3 linked regions of the Callithrix jacchus genome follow. The protein of the gene in region 3 interacts with the protein of the main gene of each other region in a biochemical or structural test. Links are inferred from orthologs where the notes say so. Each region holds a gene or a part of one and is shown on either strand. Other genes may lie near its edges. The genes, in order: CHAF1B, TLK2 and ASF1B.

The links.
Region 1: the proteins of ASF1B (region 3) and CHAF1B form a complex in vitro, tested with the Homo sapiens proteins (2 studies listed by BioGRID and IntAct). The link is inferred for Callithrix jacchus from reciprocal best matches to the Homo sapiens genes ASF1B and CHAF1B.
Region 2: of the proteins of ASF1B (region 3) and TLK2, one has a biochemical effect on the other in vitro, tested with the Homo sapiens proteins (3 studies listed by BioGRID). The link is inferred for Callithrix jacchus from reciprocal best matches to the Homo sapiens genes ASF1B and TLK2.

What each region holds. Positions count from the first base shown.
Region 1 is NC_133522.1:42,433,779-42,440,850, reverse strand, and holds part of CHAF1B (chromatin assembly factor 1 subunit B), read right to left. Parts: intron 4,153-7,072; coding exon 4,056-4,152; intron 3,369-4,055; coding exon 3,284-3,368; intron 198-3,283; coding exon 104-197; intron 1-103. UniProt on the Homo sapiens protein: Acts as a component of the histone chaperone complex chromatin assembly factor 1 (CAF-1), which assembles histone octamers onto DNA during replication and repair.
Region 2 is NC_133506.1:87,825,851-87,832,922, reverse strand, and holds part of TLK2 (serine/threonine-protein kinase tousled-like 2), read right to left. Parts: intron 4,570-7,072; coding exon 4,503-4,569; intron 2,796-4,502; coding exon 2,698-2,795; intron 1,109-2,697; coding exon 1,027-1,108; intron 1-1,026. UniProt on the Homo sapiens protein: Serine/threonine-protein kinase involved in the process of chromatin assembly and probably also DNA replication, transcription, repair, and chromosome segregation. Phosphorylates the chromatin assembly factors ASF1A and ASF1B.
Region 3 is NC_133523.1:12,909,567-12,917,188, forward strand, and holds the start of ASF1B (histone chaperone ASF1B), read right to left. Parts: upstream 4,069-7,622; 5' UTR 3,928-4,068; coding exon 3,819-3,927; intron 1-3,818. UniProt on the Homo sapiens protein: Histone chaperone that facilitates histone deposition and histone exchange and removal during nucleosome assembly and disassembly. Cooperates with chromatin assembly factor 1 (CAF-1) to promote replication-dependent chromatin assembly.

The sequences.
Region 1 (7,072 bases), on a different chromosome or scaffold from region 3:
CCCTGCTGTGATCAGCATTCACTGAGCTGATAAGCAGTGTCAAACAGGAGCAGACATTCCTGCTTGGCCATCATTCCCTTAAATCCGAAGCTACGAAACACACCTGGCGTGAGGAGCAAAGATCCATCAGGAGTGAAACTCAGTCTTCGGAAGAACGACTTCATGCTGTCATCGTGAAACATCCGGTAGCTTCTTGCCTGCCGCACAGAACATTTATTTTTATGATGATTTTTAATTATTTGGTTTGTTTGTTTCTTCTCTACACACAAAGTCTAAACATTTTTCCAGTCCTCACGCTCACAATAAAGGCTTCCCAGACGCTGTGTGTTCCCGTGGTTTTCTTTAGTGTCAATCACTGTTGACATAATCATAAATCAAACTGAAATGTATTTCAAATCAAGTAACTGTGCAACACTGCAAGGGTAATCATTCATGAAAACTGACCACACATTTTTGTTAGGTAAAGTTGTATGTATATGTGGGTGTTTTATGTGCTTCTAAAATTATTTTTAAAAACTCTTAAGAACACAAACCAAAGGGTCAACAGTGGGTCAACTGGGGCTTGAGACTGGGAGACAGTGGGAAGATGACCAGGAGACCTTTGCTTTCTATCTGTGTGGATTCATTTAGAATTTCCAAATGAATGTACTCTATTTATTTATTTTTATTTTTATTTATTTTTTTTGAGATGGAGTCTTGCTCTGTCGCCAGGCTGAAGTGCAAGGATGCAATCTTGGCTCACGGCAACCTCCACCTCCCCAGATAAAAGCAATTCTCCTGCCTCAGCCTCCCAAGTAGCTGGGACTACAGGCACATGCCACCACGCCCAGCTAACTTTTGTATTTGTAGTGGAGATGGGGTTTCACCATGTTGGCCAGGATGGTCTCCATCTCTCGACCTCATGATCCACCCGCCTTGGCCTCCCAAAGTGCTGGGATTATAGGCATGAGCCACCACGCCCAGCCTATTTATTTAGAGACAGCATCTTGTTCTGTCACCCAGGCTAGAGTGCAGCGGCACAATCATAGGTCACTGCAACCTAGAACTTCTGAGCTCAAAGCAATCCTCCCACCTCAGCCTCCTGAGTAGCAGGGACTATAGGCACATGCCATCACCTCCAGCTATTAATAAATGTATCTTTTTAAAAAAGAAAATAGTGGATTATTAAACTGGTTATCATTAATCTTCCCAAACAACATTTCTTGAACACCTGTCTAACACAGGTCTTATTACTATTTATTGACATTTTATAAACATCAAGCATGTGCTGGGCATGATGGCTCACACCTGTAATCCCAGCACTTTGGGAAGCTGAGGCAGGCAGATCACTCGACGCCAGGAGTTCGAGACCAGCCTGGCCAACATAGCAAAACCCCGTCTCTATTAAAAATACAATTATCCAAGCATAGTGGCACACGCCTGTAATCCCAGCTACTCGGGAGGCTGAGGCAGGAGCAACACTTAAACCTGGGAGGTGAAGGTTGCAGTGAGCCAAGATCACACCACTGCACTCCAGCTTGGGAGACAGAGCCAGACACTGTCTCAACAAACAAGCAAGCATTTAATTCTTAAGAACACAAGGAAGCAGGCATTATTATTATTTTATTTATTTGTTTATTTATTTTGAGATGGAATTTCACTCTTGTTGCCCAGGCTGGAGGGCAATGGCACAATCTCGGCTCACTGCAACTTCCACCTCCTGGGTTCAAGCAATTCTCTTGACTCAGCCTCCGGAGTAGCTGGGACTATAGGCATGTGCCACTATGCCCAGTTAATTTCTGTATTTTTAGTAGAGACAGGGTTTCACCATGTTAGCCAGGCTAGTCTTGAACTCCTGACCTCAGGTGATCTGCCCACCTTCACCTCCTAAATTGCTGGAATTACAGGCATGAGCCACTGCACCCAGCCGGCATTACTACTCTTACTTCGCAGGTGTGACCTCTCAGTGCATGTCAGTGGCCAGCCCACACTGCCTTACCCTGCTTTCTTGGAGGGATGTGCACCAAGTTCCCATGTGAAGCCAGTAACCGGCTTACTCCCCTGTACCTTGGTGTCTGCCTCAGTAGCCTTGAGTCCTTTAGGACTACAGTCCTATTTTCATTTGCCAATTCTTTCAAAGTCAAAATCCTTCCTATTTCTAAATAACAGAGTTTTGGCTGCGTCTCTGCTGTCTGCTACCAAAGCTCTCTATCTACCTGCCAAGATAGTAAAGTGAATGCTGCCAGACAGATCCAAAGCTGGACTGCCTGTCTTCTGTTACCTCATGTAGGGATCTTCCCAGATCAGTTGTGACCAGCCCTCACTACATCTGAGATTCATGGCAGCCCTACCTACCTCCAACCAAGTGAATCACACCACTCAGGCTGGGGCCAAGGCATCCATATTTTTATTCTTATTTTATTTTAATTAATTATCTATATGAGATCGAGTTTCATTCTGGTCACCCAGGCTGAAGTGCAATGGCGCGATCTGAGCTCACAGCAGCCTCTGCCTCCTGGGTTCAAGCAATTCTCCTGCCTCAGCCTCCTTAGTAGTTGGGATTATAGGCATGCACCACCATGCCCATCTAATTTTGTATTTTTAGTAGAGACGGGGTTTCACCATGTTGGCCAGGCTGGTCCCGAACTCCTGACCTCAGGTGATCTGCCCACCTCAGCCTCCCAAAGTGCTGGGATTACAGGTGTGAGCCATCATGCCCAGCCTTATTTTATTTTATTTTTGAAACAGAGTCTCGCTCTATCATCCAGGCTGGAGTGTAGTGGCATGATCTCAGCTCACTGCAACCTCCGCCTCCCAGGTTCAAGTGATTCTCATGCCTCAGCTTCCCGAGTAGTTGGGATTACAGGTATGTACCACCACGCCCAGATAATTTTTGTAATTCATAGAGATGGGATTTGGCCATGTTGGCCAGGCTGGTCTCAAACTCTTGACCTCAAGTGATCCGCCCACCTCAGTCTCCCAAAGTGTTGGGATTCCAGGTGTGAGCCACCACGCCCGGCCAGCACCCATATTTATAATGCTTCCCAGGTGATTCTACAGTGCAGCCAGGGTTGAAAACCACTGTCCTGTCCTCCATTGGTGGCTCTCCCTTGGTCTCCAGATGTCCCCATTTCCATACAGATTAGCCCACCACACTAACTGAGCCTTGACTGTCCAAGAGGAGGCCTTATTATAGTTCAGGAATGGGGTCCTTGAGGCCAATAATTTGGCCACAAGGGTATGGGAGGAGCTCGTGACTTCCTAATAAAGTGCTGCTGAAAAAGAATGGCAAAATATTGTGTACCTCTCCTTCAGCCCCTATTCCAGACAGCATCTTCGAAACATTAAAAGCCACACGCTTCTTCTGTGTACTGTATACTCGCAGCACCCTGAAGAAAGAACACATTGATTTACCACTTCTAGTACATGAATTATGCTTCACACAGAAACAACTTATTACCAACAGCCTATAACCACCGCAACAATTTTCAGCCTGCAAAATCTTTTACCAGTGATATTCACAACTGGATAATGATGAAGGAAGTGAGTATTAGCAACCTAAAGAATATTATAGGCCGGGCGTGGTGATTCATGCCTGTAATCCCAGCACGTTGGCCAAGGAAGGCCAATCATTTGAGATCAGGAGTTCGAGAACAGCCTGACCAACATGGTGAATCCCTGTCCCTACTAAAAACACAAATATTAACCGGGTGTGGTGGTGCACACCTGTAATCCCAATTACTAGGGAAGCTGAAGCAGGAGAGTCACTTGAAACCAGGAGGAAGATGTTGCAGTGAGCTGAGACTGCGCCACCGCACTTTAGCCTGGGTGACAGACTGAGACTCTGTCTCCAGAAACAAACAAACAAACAAAAAGGATTTACTAAATACAAACTTCGTGTAAGGCACTTGCCCTAATTAATTTTCAATTTCTGATCATATTATAAGAATGAGTATAAAAGCAAGAACAAAAGAATCAAAGCTAGACTATGATAAATTTTGGTTAAGTTGTGATAAAAATCTCTCTGCAGAAAATTCCAAGTAAATACAAAGACAGCTTGCCAAAGCCGAATGTACCTGTCACAGCTCAGAGTAGCAACATATTGACCCAAAGGGTCCCAGGTTACTCCTTGGACATAACTTTTATGTTCATTAAAAATCGATATCTTTTGTCCTACAAAAAACACACACACACAAAACAGCATTATCAAAACTTATTTGAGCCCAAATAGCATAAACTATGACATAAATATTATTCCCTTTTACCATGTATCACTCAGCGGGCATAAGTGAGAGACTCCGTACTAAACCCTGTGTCAGGCTCTGGTGTTGCAAAGATGATTTCATGCAGTCCCCACCGTCAGGGAGCTCACAGATCAGACAGACCCATCAACAGGCAAGTATCACACATGTGGACCGGGAGAGGAGGGGGAGCTGATAGCACAGGGCACCGCGTCCCAGAAGATCTAAGTTCAGTTCCCCAGGTCAGGCAGGATGAGGAGGAGATGAAGGGTGGAAGAAGGTATTCTAAGGAAATCCACGGGGTTAAGACAGCTTAGTGTGGCCAGGCGAGGTGGCTCATGCCTGTAGTCCCAGCACTTTGGGAGGCTGAGGAGGGCGGATCACCTGAGGTCAGTAGTTCAAGACCAGCCTGACCAACGTGGTGAAACCCCATTTCTACTAAAAATACAAAAATTAGCTGGGCATGGTGGTGCATGCCTGTAATCCCAGCTACTTGGGAGGCTAAGGCAGGAGAATTGCTTGAACCTGGAAGGCGGAGGTTGCAGTGAGCCAAGGTGGCGCCATTGCACTCCAGCCTGGGCGACAAGAGCAAAACTCCGTCCCCCAAAAAAAGACAGATTAGTGAAGTGAATACGGAGCAGTGACAGGTGACCAAAAACTGCTAATGGGTACACTGGAGGGCCAAGAACAGAAGATAAGGAGGAAAGGAGAAATATTACAGACCGTGTGTGTAAGGAAAGGGCTGTGGGTAGTCAAGCTGAGAAGTCATCTGCATTTTAAAGTTCAAACAGGTTTACAAGATGACAAAGTGTCACTAGTTAGGAGGTGACCGAGTAGACCAGGAAAAAGATGAAGAGGGCCCAGAGCAGACAATGTGAACAGGGATAGAAAAGGGACTCAGAAAATATTCAGCACACAGAGATCGCCTGCATAAAAGGACAAGGGAGTTACGAAGCCTTGGCCATTCCTTTTTTTTTTTCTTTTTTTTGAGACAAGGTCTGGTCCTGGAGTGCAGTAGCACCATCAGAGCTCAATGCAGCCTCAACTTCCCAGGCTCAAGAGATTCAGCAGCCCGAGGAGCTGAGACTATCGGCCCGTACTACCACATCCAGTTAATTTTCGTATTTTTTTGGTAGATAGGGTTTTGCCATGTTGCCCATGCTGGTCTTGAACTCCTGGGATCAAGCAATCCTCCCAAAGTGCTGGGATTACAGGAGTGAGCCACTGTGTCTGGCAGGTCATTTTTTTTTTTTTTTTTTGAGGTTTTTGGTGAGGTTCTGTAGCAACACATCACACTCAAGATAAAACCTAAAATCCTGGCCAGGAGCAGTAGCTCACGTCTGTAATCCCAACATTTTGGGAGGCCAACACAGGTGGATCACTTGAGGTCAGGAGATCGAGACCAGCCTGGCCAAAAACCCTGTCTCCACTAAAAACACAAAAATTAGCTGGGTGTGGTGGTGGGTGCCTATAATTCCAACTACTCTGGGGGCTGAGGCAGGAGAATTGTTGAACCCAGAAGGCAGAGGTTGCAGTGAGCCAAGATTGCACCACTGCACTCCAGCCTGGGCGACTAAGTGAAACTCTGTCTCAAACAAACACACAAACAAACAAGACAGGATGGAGGACGGCTTGGCTGGACAGCATGGAACGAAAAAGAGCGAAGATTTTTATAAACCGGATGAGAGCTGGGCTGACACAATGCTTCGGGGACAGCCAACACCAACTCCCCTCCCCAGGGACTTGAGTTGTAGAATTGGCAGGAAGACGCTTAGGAGAAAACAAAGTTGAATAAAGGACGGTGGGGGATAAAAATGGTTAGGAATTAGCCCCTGCTTGCTTTTGGCATTTCAAAGCTATTTTTATACCACTATAACTTTTCACATGTCAACTGTCTCCCCAACTAGAGAACAGAATGTCCCTGGCTTTCCTTGATCTTCTGAAATGGAAACCTGATCCCACCTACCCCACCAACCAGCATGCCATGCCCTATAAATTATAAGTGACTTGTTAATCTTCCCAAGATCCTAGCCTCCATAAAGGCAGGGCCTGGGCCTGTCATCTTACCTGCAGGCCCCTCCATGTGGGATCTGCCTGGCCTCAGCATCAGTAACTCGCCTGCAGGTAAGATGACAGGCTGCTAAGCCTCTTACACTCTGACGATCCATGGCATATGAGACTGACCCCTATCCTGCTGAGCCAACTGTCTACTTCAATTAACTAAAACAATTGGTTGTGTTGCTTTTAAAGTTAAAGTAAGTAGACCGGGCCTGGTGGCTCATGCCTGTAATCCCAGCACTTGAGGAGGCCAAGGCAGGTGGATCACTTGAGTTCAAAAGTTTGAGACCAGCCTGGCCAATGGTGAAACCCTGTATCTACTAATGATAAAAAAAATTAGCCAGGCCTGGTAGCCCATACCTATAATCCCAGTTACTGGGGATGCTGAGGCAGGAGAATCTCCTGAACCCGGAGGCAGAGGTTGTAGTGAGCCAAAATCGCGCCACTGCACTCCAGCCTGGTCAAGAGCAAAACTCTGTCTCCAAAAAAATTAAAATAAAAAAATAAAGTTACAGGAAATCAGGGCCAGAGACAATGGCTCATACCTGTAATCTCAGCACTTTGGGAGGCCAAGGCGGGCAGATCACCTGGGGTCAGGAGTTCAAGACCAGCCTGGCTAACATGATGAAATCATCTCTACTAAAAACACAAGTATTAGCTGGATGTGGGGGTACACACCTATAGTCCCAGCTACTCAGGAGACTGAGGCAGGAGGATCGCTTGAACCCAGGAGGCAGAGGGTGCAGTGAGCCGCAATCGCCCCACTGTACTCCAGCCTGGGCGACAAAGCAAGA
Region 2 (7,072 bases), on a different chromosome or scaffold from region 3:
CCTGGGAAATGTAGCAAGACCCTGTCTCTACAAAAAATTTAAAAATTAGTGCACAGGTCCTATAGTCCCAGCTACTCAAGACATTGAGGCAGGAGGCTTGCTTGTGTCCAGCAGTTTGAGGCTGCAATGAACTATGATCATGCCACCTCACTCCAGCCTGGGCAATAGAACAAAACCCTGTCTCTAAAATAAATAAATAAATAAATAAAACCATAGGGGGAAAAAAGTAAAAAAGAAAACCATAGAACTAGTTTTACCATTTTTATTTGTAATGAAAACTATTTTACTAAAAAAATTTCCCATATATAAATTCATATGAGCATAACATAAATCCTAACAGTGAAGGTTAAACGTTTGAAAGGCAGAGCTGTACAATGAAGACTACATAATAAACAATTCTGTACTTTACAGACAGGTTCCAGAAACAGGTAGAAAAATTCAATCCACATGTTATGGATCTGTAGCTAAATTTAAAACATGCTGGATCCCTCATTTGGTAAAAATCAACCTGGAGGCTCAGCAGGCTGTACTTTGCTGGTCCAACTGAAGCACTCTAAGCCAGGTCACTCTTTCAGACTGCCAGTGCTAGTAAATGATACCATAACACTTTTAAAACAAAAAGCAGGTTTTCCAATTAAAAAAAAAAAACTATTCTTATTGGAAATAGGTTTTACAGATCAATTCTGCAAAGGAAATAAAGGTAGCACATACTCTTTTCTAACGAATGTGTATGAGGCAGAAAGTACAGAATCAGAATAAAAATCACCATAATTCCACCACCCAGTATATTTCCTTCTTGCTTTTTAAATCTGTAAGTATTTCTTTTTCAAACTTAAACATATCAATATTGTATCCTGCTTAGTCATCTAGGTTTACTGAAAGCTGTTTTCCCAAAGATACAGGTTTTTAAATTTTTTGAATTTTAATGGATAGCAACCCACAATTTTCGGTATTCTTAATGTTCTCGAACTCAGTAATAGCCGATAATTTAACCCCCAGTCTTTGATCCCAGGTTGTTATACTTACCTTATAAACTTCACTGAAACCCCCTCTACCCAAAAGATGTAACAACAAATATCTGTCATTTAGCGTTGGATGATCTTTAAATCTGTGGAAACAGAAAATATGTAACCCCTGAGATCATGGACTACGTCTTCCATGCTTGCAAAATTCCCAGAATATCTAACACATTATACATACAATTATAGCTGCTGTTGGTAGTCTGACAATCAACATCAACATGGCAAATTCTGAGAATAAATTTACACAGTTCAAAGAGGCAGCATAATTACAATGAATAATAGCACTAGCTGTAGAGCCACAGGACTCGAGTGCTGGTCTCAGTGTAGCTACACTAGATCTGTGACCTTTGTTGTTCCTCCTTTTTTCTGCCCTGCTACACAATGAGCGATGGTAGATTAGACTTGATTAGGGATTTTTAAATTGTGCTATTTGGCTCCTCCTCCAAACTATACAAGATCCACATGATCCCACCATTTCCAAACTACACACAGTAAAATTCCAAGAAATTTGTTATTTCCTTACAAATTGATTGCAGAATAGTGAAGTCACATGTTCTATGTGCATTCATTATTCTCTCTTTAAGACAAGGTCTATGATATAACTATGTTCCCCATATTACATTCCACCTTGGGTAGTTTCTTAATTAATATGATAAAGAAATGACAAGTTCTGGCAAAAACAAATTTTAAAATATTTTTACCTAGTTCCTGATCTTACACAATCTCACTATTAATCCTGAAGTTACTTTACTTTGATTTTAAGAAAGTAGCATGCCTATTTGGAGATACATTACTGCATGGTGGTTGGGATGAAAAAGATCCAAGTTTAACTCTTTAGTCACATTATTTATGGGTCCCTGGGTCAAGTTAACTTAATTTCTCTAAGCTTGTTTTCTGATTGATGTATTGCAGATGACTGGGTTATCCTGAGGATTAAATGAGAGCACTAAGGGCACTTAGGATCAAGCCTGATACACAGAGTTTTCAGGAAGTAGTACCTGCTATTGTCTGCCACTCTAGCAGAAAGAAAGGTCTATAGCTCTTATAAGCCAAACAAAAATACGCACACTATGGCTTTGTGAAAAAATGTTTCAGGGTCCGAAAATGTGGGAAAAAAACAGATTACTTATAAAAGCCCCTTTCTACTTTCAACCTACTTTTCCCATCTTCAATTCCTTAAATGACTAATAAGCAATGGTGGGCATTAATCTACAATTAATATACTGAACTTAAGAGTCTTACTTAGTCTCAACACTTGAATGGCTCTTAAAGGTCATTCAGAAACTGAGTGTCATCTCAGCCCAATATTCTTTCCACAACACCACACTATGAACTATGCTTCCCTTTCTTAAGGCTCTGTAGGTAAAACTGAATATGCAATGTATTTCAGCCATTTACAATTACCAAGCCATATTGTTTTAATAATCTCTACTCAGGTAAAAATGCTATGTGTATACACATATATACTTAATACATAAATTTAATACAATTATATATTTAAACCAAGGCAAATCATAATTTTGTTCACAAAATTGTATTAGATGCTACAAAAGAACTATACACTATGGAATCATTTATGTAACTTATATTAAGCAAATGCATTATTCCAGACCATTCAATTCATATCAGAAAGTGCTTAGCAATCTCCAACCCAATATACCCCCAAGTTGCTTACTGTGAATTATCTTCATTATGTATCCTTTTAAGTTCCCTGATATGTAGATTTCTAACCCTTTCTAGCCTTTCCAGCTCTGCCTGGATCTCTGCTTCCTCCTAAAGCAAAAAGGAAAGAAATAGCTCAAAATATGGGGAACTTTACCTTTCTGGGATCTTATTTCAAAAGCAACAGCAGACATTTGTCTTATGAAAAGCTAAAGAAAGGTATTTTGCATTGAAAGATTTATTTTTAAAAGATAAGAATTTTAATCATAATAAGCCCATAGAAAATAATAAAAGTCAAAGGCTGGGTGCGGTGGCTCACGCCTGTAATCCCAGCACTTTGGGAGGCCGAGATGGGTGGACCATGAGATCAGGAGTTCAAGACCAGTCTGGCCAAGATGCTGAAACCCCATCTTTATTAAAAATACAAAAATTTGCCAGGCGTGGTGGCACGTGCCTATAATCCCAGCTACTCGGGATGCTGAGGCAGAAAAATCACTTGAACCCAGGAGGCAGAGGTTGCAGTGAGCTAAGATCAAGCCACTGCACTCCAGCATGGGTGACAGAGCAAGACTCTGTCTCAAAAAAGAAAAAAGAAAATAATGAAATTCAAACCATACAGAGGAGTTCAGTGAGAAAAGTAGCTCTCTACCCTTCTCCTCCCTCCTCTCCACACCCACTCCCAAGATGTAGCCACTATCAAATTTCTTACGTTAAGTTTTCAGAAATGTTTTGTGCATATACATATAGACATAGAAACAATTTTTACAAAAATCAGGTCATCTATCTGGTCCTCCTCTTTACATATGGATTACACTTGATGCCTTAAGTTCTACTTATTTAACAAGCTCTGAGAACCCAGCGGGAAAAACGGCATGAAAACTAATATGTGAAATAAAAAACAAACAAATGCACATATACCAAAAGCAGTTCAGTAAATCCTTACTAACCATTATCACCGTAAATAGCATCCACCAATGTATGGGTTTCTGAATTCAAGAGCGGAGCAATCTACATCTAAGATATCTTAGTGAACATCATTAATAATAAATTCTATGTTATGTGTCTTTGTGTCTGAATAAGACTGGCATAAGACTTTCTCTTATTAGCTAGTTTAGGCAAGAAATAAGAGCTGACATGTGATTTAAAATATGGCAGGAGTCTTAACATCAATTTTAAAACCAACTGCTCTTAAAATTTAAATATTAAAAAAATAATTAAGTTTCACTCCAAAGATAACCACTTGGGAAGCCTTATATGTTCAGAATTATCTGCTGAGAGATCACTGGTAAAAACACTCTCATTGGGTTGCTGGAATTGTCTTGAAAATGGAAAGATAGATCAGGCATGGTGGCTCACACCTGTAACCTGTAATCCCAGCACTTTGGGAAGCCAAGGCAGGAGGATCACTTGAGGTCAGGAGTTTGAGACCAGCCTGGTCAAGACGGTGAGACCCTCATCTCTACTAAAAATACAAAAATTAGCTGGCTGTGGTGGTGCACACCTGTAATCCCAGCAACTTAGGAGGATGAGGCACAAGAATCGCCTGGGCCCAGGAGGCAGAGGTTGCAGTGAGCTAAGATCGATCATGCCATTGCACTCTAGCCTGGGAGACAGAGTGAGATTCCATTTCAAAAAAAGAAAACAGAAAGATATGAGTTCTACCATTAGGCTATGAGACGTGACAGTGAAAGCAGTCACTCAAGCTTTCTGCCACTATGTGAAACTACTATTACATTTGCCCAAATGACCAAATAGCTTAAAACCTAAATGTAAACTGGGTAACATATTTCTCCAGAGAGATTTTCTCATTATACTTACTTTTTTAAGATGACCTAATCTGAGTTTGAAGATTTCTTCTTGTTCATGGTATTCTGCTAATGTTAACCTGAAAAACAGTGGTTAAAAGTTTCAGTAAATTACTTGAAATCATAGTTTGCCTATTTGAAGAGAATAGCCCAAATATACAATAAGACAAATTCAGTTTCAGTCTCAGTTAAAATCACTGAAGGATAGGTTATCCTGTAGTCCTCTGACAAGAAAAAACTTCCGCGATTTATTAGATATGATGTGAGAGAAAGACTTCAAAGCCAAAAAGCCTAATTTGCAAAACATAAAAAAAAAAGTGAGCCATATTTAAAATTTTTTTTCTTTTTCTTAATGACTTTCTTTTAACAGCATTTTATATTATTTTTGAAATGAGTTTCGTCCAATTTACTCAGATTAAAAACTCATTCAGAGAGAGCCAAAAATTGTTTAAAATTCTTTTAGAGGCCAAAACAGTCAGTCAATGGATTTGATTATTCTTGTTAACACCTAAACCTTGATGCTATAATAACAAAGAGAAAGACATAAAAGCAAATTCGAGTCTACGATTTGGAGTATGAGGACTAGAGTTCAAGGTATTAATAAGATACTGGCCATGTGACCTTGGGCAAACAACTTTAATTTCTTAAGTCAGTTTTTTTGAAATGCGGCAAGTGATAATACCTATCTAAGAAAACGTTGGGACTATTAAACGACAACGAAAAAAGAACATTGAAAATGCTATCTAAACCAGTTCTCAAAGGGCTGACTTGATGGGTATTCATGTGTTTCATATTCCACCTACTCCAACAGCATCCTTATATCTCAAGAATAAACAAGTGGCCAGCCTCAGTGGCCAGTAGTCTGGGAGGCTGAGGGGAAAGATCACTTGGAGCCAGGAGTTCCAGCCTGGGCAACAAAGCAAGACTCTTGTCTCTGTGCAGGGGAAAAAAAAGAAAGAAAAAACTGAGCATGGTGGCATATGCCTGTAGTCCCAGCTACTCAGGATGCTGAGATGGAAGGACTGCTTGAGCTCAGGAGGTTGAGGCTACAGTGAGCTATAATCATGCCACTGCACTCCAGCCTGAGCAACAGAGCAAGACTCTCTTTAAAAAAAAAAAAAGGGCTGGGCGCAGTGGCTCATGCCTGTAATCCCAGCACTTTGGGAGGCCAAGGTGGGTGGATCACGAGGTCAAGAGATCGAGACCATCCTGGTCAACATGGTGAAACCCCGTCTCTACTAAAAATACAAAAAAAAAAAATTAGCTGGGCACGGTGGCGCGTGCCTGTAATCCCAGCTACTCAGGAGGCTGAGGCAGGAGAATTGCCTGAACCCAGGAGGCAGAGGTTGCGGTGAGCCGAGATCGCACCATTGCACTCCAGCCTGGCTAACAAGAGCGAAACTCCGTCTCAAAAAAAACAAAAAAAGGAAAAAAAAAAGATCAATAAGTTACAATTATTATTTTATTCTTCCTTCCATCTCTACCTTCTTCACATTCTAGAATCATACACAGATACTTAACATTTTTAGATATCACTGTTTAGATATATTCTAAATTGCAGAAGAAAGAGGAAACACCTATCCTATCAACCAGAACAGAGCCTTTGATGTCTAACTCAAGGAAAATAGAACAAACTCATCCACTAGGGCTCTTTATAGATGCAGAAATACCTGCATCTACTACTCCATTTCACACTAGCAAAAAACAGAGAAATAAAAAATCATGGCTAAGAATTATCTGTCTGAAACAGGTTCAGGGCCAAGAAAGGATATTATGACTTACTCCAAGACTTCAGAGGCCTATATCTGGCTTCTGGTCAAAATAAGAGCCAAGTCACAGATACTCTAATTAAAAACTGGACTGAAGGTCTTCTAGCTTGGATTTTACACAGGACTCCAGATGCCAACTGCTTACACATTACTAGCCTAGATTCCATTCTAACTATTGTTCTGTGGCAAAGAAACAACCTTTGCCTTCTTCATCACTCCTAATCCAATGGTTTTATGCATCAGCATTAAATAATTTTCAAGTGATACTAGAGGGAAAGTCCCTTCACAAAATAAACACAGGAGTCATGAAAGAAAACACTGATCAGATTAATTAGCCTGGAGAATCTTTCAAATCTGAGCCCCTACTTGGACTTGCTGAAAGGAAAATATTTAAAGACTCGATAATCTTCCCCTCTTCTCATTCTCATTACTGCACTTGACTAGTTTTTAAAATCAAGGGGAAAAAAGACTCTAATTTTAAAACATTTGGGCCGGGTGCAGTAGCTCAAGCCTGTAATCCCAGCAATCTGGGAGGCGGACAAGGGTGGATCATTTGAGATCAGGAGTTTTAGACCAGCCTGGCCAACATGGCAAAACCCCCATCTCTACTAAAAATACAAAAATTAGCCGGCTGTGGTGGTTCGCTTGTAGTCCCAGCTACTCAGGAGGATGTGGCAGGAGAATGGCTTGAACACGGGAGATGGAGGCTGCAGTGAGCCAAGATTGTGCCACAGCACTCCACTCTGGGTGACAGAATGAGACTTTGTCTCAAAAAAAAAAAAAAAAAAAAAACTGGAGCTTTATGAATCAAGAT
Region 3 (7,622 bases):
ATTACAGGCATGAGCCACCTCACATAGCTGGGTTAGGATTACAGGCATGAGCCACCTCACATAGCTGGGTTAGGATTACAGGCATGAGCCACCTCACATAGCTGGGTTAGGGGTTTTGTCAGATCTTCAGTTGACACTGCTGAGATTGAGGCAGATTCTCTCATTTCATGGAGAGGAGGCCAGAAAGAGGCAGAAAACAAGCTGGCAGAGCAGTCACAGACAGCCCTAGGACTGGAAAAGCCCGGATTTCTCACTTGAGTATCCTGAAGAAAAAGCTTTATCATCCAGGTGCAGTTAATCATAGCATTCCCTGGCCAGGCGCTTGGGATTCGAAGTGTAGTCCCAGCACTAGGAGGCCGAGGCAGGCAGATCACTTGCAGTCAGGAGTTTGAGACTAGCTTGGCCAACATGGTAAAACCTTGTTTCTACCAAAAATACAAAAATTAGCCAGGCGTGGTGGCACACACTGGTAGTCCCAGCTACCTGGGAGGCTGAGGCTGGAGAATCGCTTAAACTCAGGCGGTGGAGAGTGCAGTGAGCTGAGATTGCGCCACTGCACTGTAGCCTGGGTGACACTAGAGTGAGACCCCATCTCAAAAATAAATAATAATAATAGCACACCCCTTCACTGAGTTTTGAGTGTCCTCATTTGGCAATACATTCTATGGTCGTTCGTTATCTATGCTCCACCTCTGAAATAGGGAATCCTTCCTTTCTTTCCCTGAATTGGAAAGATAAAGATTGTGAAGATAAAGAACTTAGATTCAGAAATCAGTGACAATACTTCTATAAATTGGCTGTGTGACCCCTGAGAAGTCATTCCATTTCATTTTTTTTTTTGAGATGGAGTTTCGCTGTTGTTACCCAGAGTGGAGTGCAATGGCACAATCTCGGCTCACCACAACCTCCGCCTTCTGGGTTTAAGCAATTCTCCTGCCTCAGCCCCCCGAGTAGCTGGGACTACAGGCACGCACCACCATGCCCAGCTAATTTTTGTATCGACAAGGGGTTTCACCTTGTTGACCAGGATAGTCTTGATCTCTTGACCTCGTGATCCACCCGCCTCGGCCTCCCAAAGCGCTGGGATTATAGGCGTGAGCCACTGTGCCCCGCCAAGTCATTCCATTTCTATTAAAAAATGACCAGCAGGGCCAGGTGAGGTGGCTCATGCCTGTAATCCCAGCACTTTTGGAGGCCAAGTCTTGTGTTCAGGAGTTCGAGACTAGCCTGACTAACGTGGTGAAATCCCATCTCTACTAAATTAGCCAGCCATGGAGGTGCGTGCCTGTAGTCCCAACTACACAGGAGGCTGAGGCAGAATTGCTTGAACCCAGGAGGCAGAGGTTGCAATGAGCCAAGATCGTGCCACTGCACACCAGCCCGGGCAACAGAGCAACACTCTGTCTCAAAAAAAAAAAAATACCAGCAGGTTGACTTTAGCCTTTCCAACTAATTCTCTAAGTAAGTTAGTAAAGTCACAGGACAGGAGCTTCCTAGGAGTAGAAGTATCAGATAATGACCGCATCACCATTTGTAAATGCAAGGAACACAAACAGGCTGATTGAAACCCGATCTCCTGCCGCCTGGAAGCTGGGAATCCCTCAGCCTATTACCTCCTTCCATCTCCTCCTGGCTTTTAAATTAAATCTTATTCCACAGTGACATTCTACACTTTATTTATTTACATGCTGCCCTGTTCCAGAAAGGATTTAACTTGGCTTATTCTATAGTTAGCCACAAGTAGACTCCTCAGGAAGAGGTGGACCTACTGGCCTACCCAGAGCACATCTGAATCTCACTGTATCAGCCCCGAGCTAATACACGCCACCAGCTTGGAGGGGAAACCACCCACCTGACCCCAAGAGGCACTAGTTAGCACCCCCGGCTTCACAGGCCACTGCACGGCCACCTCCTCGGCTGTGCCTTTTCTCTTTTAACCACCAAGTAGAAAAATGGCCTAATGAAGTACTTCTTCCTGAAAGCAGGACTCGCCTTTTAGTGGTGCCAAGGCTCCCTGGGTGACCTTAGATTCTGGATTGTACAAGCCTTGACGTGAAAGGTCTTTTGCGCTTTGTGCCTCCTGTCCTCTCATCTGTGAGATGAGAGCCATGTGCACCTTTAAGTCACACAGATTAATAAGTACATCTGCGGAAGCACCTTGGAAAAGATGCGTAAGAGGCTGTGACCCCTAAGCTCCAGCTGACTGTTTGAAGCTGGAGCCTGTCAGAGCTCAGCCCAGTCCACCCACCCCCAGACTAGGTCAGACCATCAAAAGCAATGGAAGCTTGGCACTGATTATCCAGCTATATAAAAGAAGAAAGGAAGAAGAAGAAGAAACAAGAAGAAAACTAGGCGCAGTGCCTCATGCCCGTGTAATCCCAGCACTTTGGGAGCCTGAGGCAGGTGGATCACAAGGTTAGGAGTTCGAGACCAGCCTGCCTAACATGGTGAAACCCTACTAAAAATACTAAAATTGGCCAGCTGTGGTGGCCTGTGCCTATAATCCCAGCATTTTGGGAGGACAAGGTGGGTGGATCACTTATAGTCCATAGTTCGCAACCAGCCTGGCTAACGTGGTGAAACCCCGCCTCTACTAAAAATACTAAAATTAGCCGGGCGTAGTGGCAGGCGCCTGTAATCCCAGCTACTCAGGAGGCTGAAGTTGCAGTGAAGTGCCACTGCACTCCAGCCTGGGCAACAGAGCAAGACTCTCTTTCAAAAAAAGAAGAAAAAGCGAAGAATTGCTGCAGTCAGTCAGCTGGAAATGGGCGGGCAAACCTGGGGAACTACTAATGCCTGCCTGGCTATGCCACCCCTCGGATCTCAGCGTGTATGTCCAAGCCCACAGAAGAGGGTGGGGAAAGGGAGCTGGGGAGACCAAGTTACTGCAAAGGGTAGCATCCTTCCCCGGGGGAGCTCAGGGATAGGGAGGTTGGGCCCCAACGAAGGAGGGAAATCAGGTTCCAGGGTATGTGCATTGGGGTAGAAAACCAGCAGCAATTGGTGGGGGGCAGGGTTATTGAAATATCGGCAGGTTGGGGAGGGGAGAGCCGGGAGACAGATGGGAAGATGGGGGAAGAGAGCGGTCTTGACAAGGGATTGACGGGTTTTCATAGGGAAAAAAGGTTACTGGAGGGGAGGGTCTTCACGGTGGGGGGAGAAGGGAGTTGGGGGAGAGGTCTCCATAGGGGAAATAGAAAATGGCTGGGATTTTCCCCGGGAAAAATGGGAAGGGGCTGGAGAGTGGGGTCTCCAGAGGGAAAAAGGGAGATGGGAGTATCTCACTATAGGAAAGAGTCTAAGTGGGCAAAAATGGGTGGGTGGCTGAAACAGGGGTCTTGCCACAGGGAAGCCACAGTGGCTGAAGATCTCCGTGGGTTAAGAAATAGAGGCCGAGAAGGTCTCTGCATGAAAATGGGTACCTCGGAAGAGCTCCAAAGAAAAAAGATGGATGAGGCTCCCCACGCTGGAAATGGGGCTTGGGTGGGGGGCGTTAATCTCTATGGGGAGGTTGGGGCGGGCAGTGGCGAAGATCACTGGGATGTCCGAGTTGGCTAGCGGGAAGCCTCCACCCGGGAGGTCAATGCGGGCAGTGGGGAAGGAAGTCCCGGGGAGGTCCAGGTTGGCTGGTGACTGGGGGGGGGGGGGTCTCCACCCGGACACCGGGTTGACTGGCGGGCTGGGGGAGATCGGGGTTAGCTGAGAGGGAGGACGAGGAGTTTCATGGGGGAGATCAAGTTGGCCATGAGAGCAGTTTTCCGCGGGGAGGCCGGGGTCGGCCCGAGGGTGGGGATTAACCCGCACAATCCCAGCCTCACCGTCCGCCAGGGCTTCACTGCACTCGAAGCTGATCTCGAACCGGAAGGGGCTGTGGAAAGGGCTCGGGTTCTCCAGTACCGCCACGTTCAACACCGACACCTTGGCCATCGCCTCGCCTCGCCTCACTGCGCTGCAGCAGGGGCAGGGGCAGGGGCTGTGGCCGAGGCCGCGTCTGGGTCCGGTGGTGAGGTCAGCGGGGTAGGGTTGACAAAACCCACTCCAAACTCTTCCCTCCGCGGACTGAAGTGCGCATCTCGTACGCGCGCCGCCTTCAAATAGCCGGCCTCCGCCCTCTGGCCAATCACCGCCAACGCTCCCTGGCGGCGCGCGCACCCTCTCAGCCAATCCTGGAGCGCCAGTCGGCGCGCGCCCAGACTCCTTGGACCAATCAGCGGAGCTCCCTCTCCGCGGAGCGTGAGGAGGGTGGAACCACCTCCAGGCTTCTTAGCGTGTCCTCTGGGAACCAATCCCCAGCGTCTCCGACTAGGAGGTCAACGGCAGGAGTGGACAGAGTCAGAGCGCCGGCCTCCTGCTGGCCAATCCTGAGGGTTCCCGCACCGGCGTGGCCCGCCCCTCGCCCCACTATTCCGGGATATGTATCCCGCAGCGCGCAGCGCCGCCAACCGCCGAGCGGTGGCGCGCGGTGCTCGCTAAAGAAGGCGGGAAGGGCGGTGCTCGCACCCCCAGTGATTGGCAGGAGGGAGTGGGGCGGAGATAAAGAGGGTTTTTTGAGAGTTGATTGGCTGGATTGGTAATGAAAGCGGGAGCCTAAGGAGGCTCAGCTGGGGATTAGTTGGAGAGAAGCGGAAGTGGGAGTTACCCTGGTGCCGGGGTGTGTGAAGAGAGAGGAGGAGCGTTTGCGGCCTCAGCGTCTGTTCAACAGGTGAGCGTCTGCTGGAGCTTTTCTGAGTGGCTGGCTCCTGACCTCGAGGTGCAGCAGCCCGGGTGTCCGTTGTGAACGTTGTGAACGTTCGGAGTGGCGGTCACGCGCCGCGCTCGGACCTCGGGAGTCTGGCCGAGTTTGGATCCCGTTCTTGCCCCCGAGGGGTTGGAATCCCTTTCTCGCCCCCTGGTGGGCTCTTGGGAGGTTTCAAGCGGACGGAACTGAAAATGGGAGTTCCAGTTCGAGTCGGTGCTCTGCTACTCGGCTTTCGAGGCAGCGTCTCCCTTCCCATTGAACGGGCCGTGGAAATTCCCTGGCATGACTCATGACCACATAATACATCCAGAAACTTCTCTCCGCCGCATCCCACCTGGGCCGTCGCCTGGGAGACTGTCCCACGGGAAATCAGCGCTGCCCAGTGGAAAAGTAATGCCTGCCGCGCACCTAATTATACATTTTTTGGAAGCCACTTAAAAAAAAACCGAGTCTCGCTGTGTGGCCCAGGCTGGAGTGCAGTGGTTCCATCTTGGCTCACTGCAACCTCCACCTCCCAGGTTCAAGAGACTCTCCTTCCTCAGCCACCCCGGAGTAGTTGGGATTACAGGCGCACACCACCATGCCTGGGTAATTTTTGTTTTTTCGTAGAGACGGAGTTTCTCCATGTTGGTCGGACTGGTCTCGAACCCCTGACCTCAAGTGATCCGCCCGCCTCAGGCTCCCAAAAGTGCAAGAATTACAGGCGTGAGCCACAGCTCTGAGCCGCTAACACACAGCGTGTTGCGTTCTTTTACCCAGTGAAAAGACGTTGAGATTCCTTGTGTTGTACACTCAGCTGCACGTCTGTCATCGGGCATGTGAATACATTTTCTTCAAAAAATCGTTGATCTGGTTTCTTATGTTTCATAAGGTTTGCAGTTGAAAATGTAGATTCACACATTCCTACTATTCTCGACGTACTTCAGAGTCTTCCACGAGCTCAATTTTTGTATTTTTTTTTTTTTTTGAGACGGAGTCTCACTCACCTACCCAGGCTGAAGTGCAGTGGTACGATCTCGACTCACTGCAGCCACCACCTCCCGGGTTCAAGCGGTTCTCCTGCCTGTCTCCTGAGTAGCTGGGATTACAGGTGTGCACCACCACAACCAGCTAATTTCGTGTGTGTATTTTTAATAGAGACAGGGTTTCACCATGTTGGCCAGGCTGGTCTTGAACTCCTGACTTCAAGTGATCTGCCCACCTCGGCCTTCCAGAGTGCTGGGATTACAGGTGTGAGCCACTGCGCCCGGCCATGTCTTTTTTTTTTTTTTTTTTTAATTTAAATTTTACTTTGTTTAAAAATTAAATTTTAGAGTCTGGGCATGGAGGATTTCTTGAGGCCAAGAGTTCAAGATCAGTCTGGGCAACATAAAAGAATAAGCCAGGTGTGATAGTGCACACTTGTACTCTGCTACCTGGGAGGCTGAGACAGGAGGATCACTTGAGCCCAGGATGTTTAGCCACTGCACTCCAGGCTGTGTGTCAGAGTGAGACCCTGTCTCTAAAAATTAAAATTAAATTTAAAAAAAAGTTCAGGGGGCTGGATGCAGTGGCTCACACCTGTAATCCCAGCACTTTGGGAGGCCGAGGCAGGTGGATCACAAGGTCAGGAGATCGAGGCCATCCTGGCCAACATGATGAAGCCTCATCTCTACTAAAAATACAAAAAAAATTAGCTGGGGGTGGTGGTGCATGCCTGTAGTTCCAGCTACTCTGGAGGCTGAGGCAGGAGAATTGCTTGAAACAGGAAAACAGAAGTTGCCGTGAGCCGGGATCGAGCCACTGCATTCCAGCCTGGTGATAGAGCGAGACTGTCTCCAAAAAACAAAAAAAAAAAGGGCGGTTTAGTCTTGATAGCCACTGTTGGGTGCTCCTGAGCCCCGGTGACAAGTGGCTACTGTATTACTGGACAGCGGAGGTGTCCAGTAATAATCAAAACACATTTGATCAGGTCACTTCTCAGGATGAAAACGTCTTCCAAACTCTGTGCTTTGTCTCCTGTTAACCACCCAGCTCCAACTTCAACCCAGCCTAAGTAGCCCTCTTATTGTTAAAAATCCAACAAGCCGCCAGGCGTGGAGGTTCACACCTGTAATCCCAGCACTTTGGGAGGCCAAGGTGGGCAAGGTGGGTGGATCACAAAGTCAGACGTTGGAGACCAGCCTGGCCAACATGGTGAAACCCCGTCTTTACTAAAAAAAAAAAAAAAAAAAAAAAAAAAAAAAAATTAGCTGGGCATGGTGGCATGTGCCTGTAATCCCAGCTACTCAGGAGGCTGAGGCAGGAGAATCGCTTGAACCTGGGAGGTGGAGGTTGCAGTAAGCCGAGATTGCACCACTGTACTCCAGCTGGGTGACAGAGCAAGGCTCTGTCTAAAAAAAAAAAAAGATCCAACAAGCCACTCCCAGCACAGAGCTTCCGCCCAGAACATCTTCTCCTGGGCTCTTGATATGACTTATGCCTTCTTGTCATTCAAGTCTTGGTTCAGATGTCCTCTCCCCAGAGAGGCCTTTCTAAGGGTGCCCTGGACAGTGTTCACACTCATAGGCCGTAAGCCTGAATAGCTCTGACCCAAGCCACTAGCATTTCTTCCCCAGATACCTCTGTAGGTTCACTAGGACTCACTCACTATGCTAGGCATAGGATTCCTTTTCTTTTTAAAGAATCTAGTTCCTGTGGGATTTTTTTTTTTTTGAGGTGGAGTTTCGCTCTTATTGCTCAGGCTGTAGTGCTCACCACAACCTCTGCCTCCCAGGTTCAAGCAGTTCTCCTGCCTACTACTCAAGCTACTCTCTCGAGTAGCTGGGATTACAGGCATGTGCCACCACTCCTGGCTAATTTGGTGTTTTTAGTAGAGATGGGGTTTCTCCATGTTGGTCAGGCT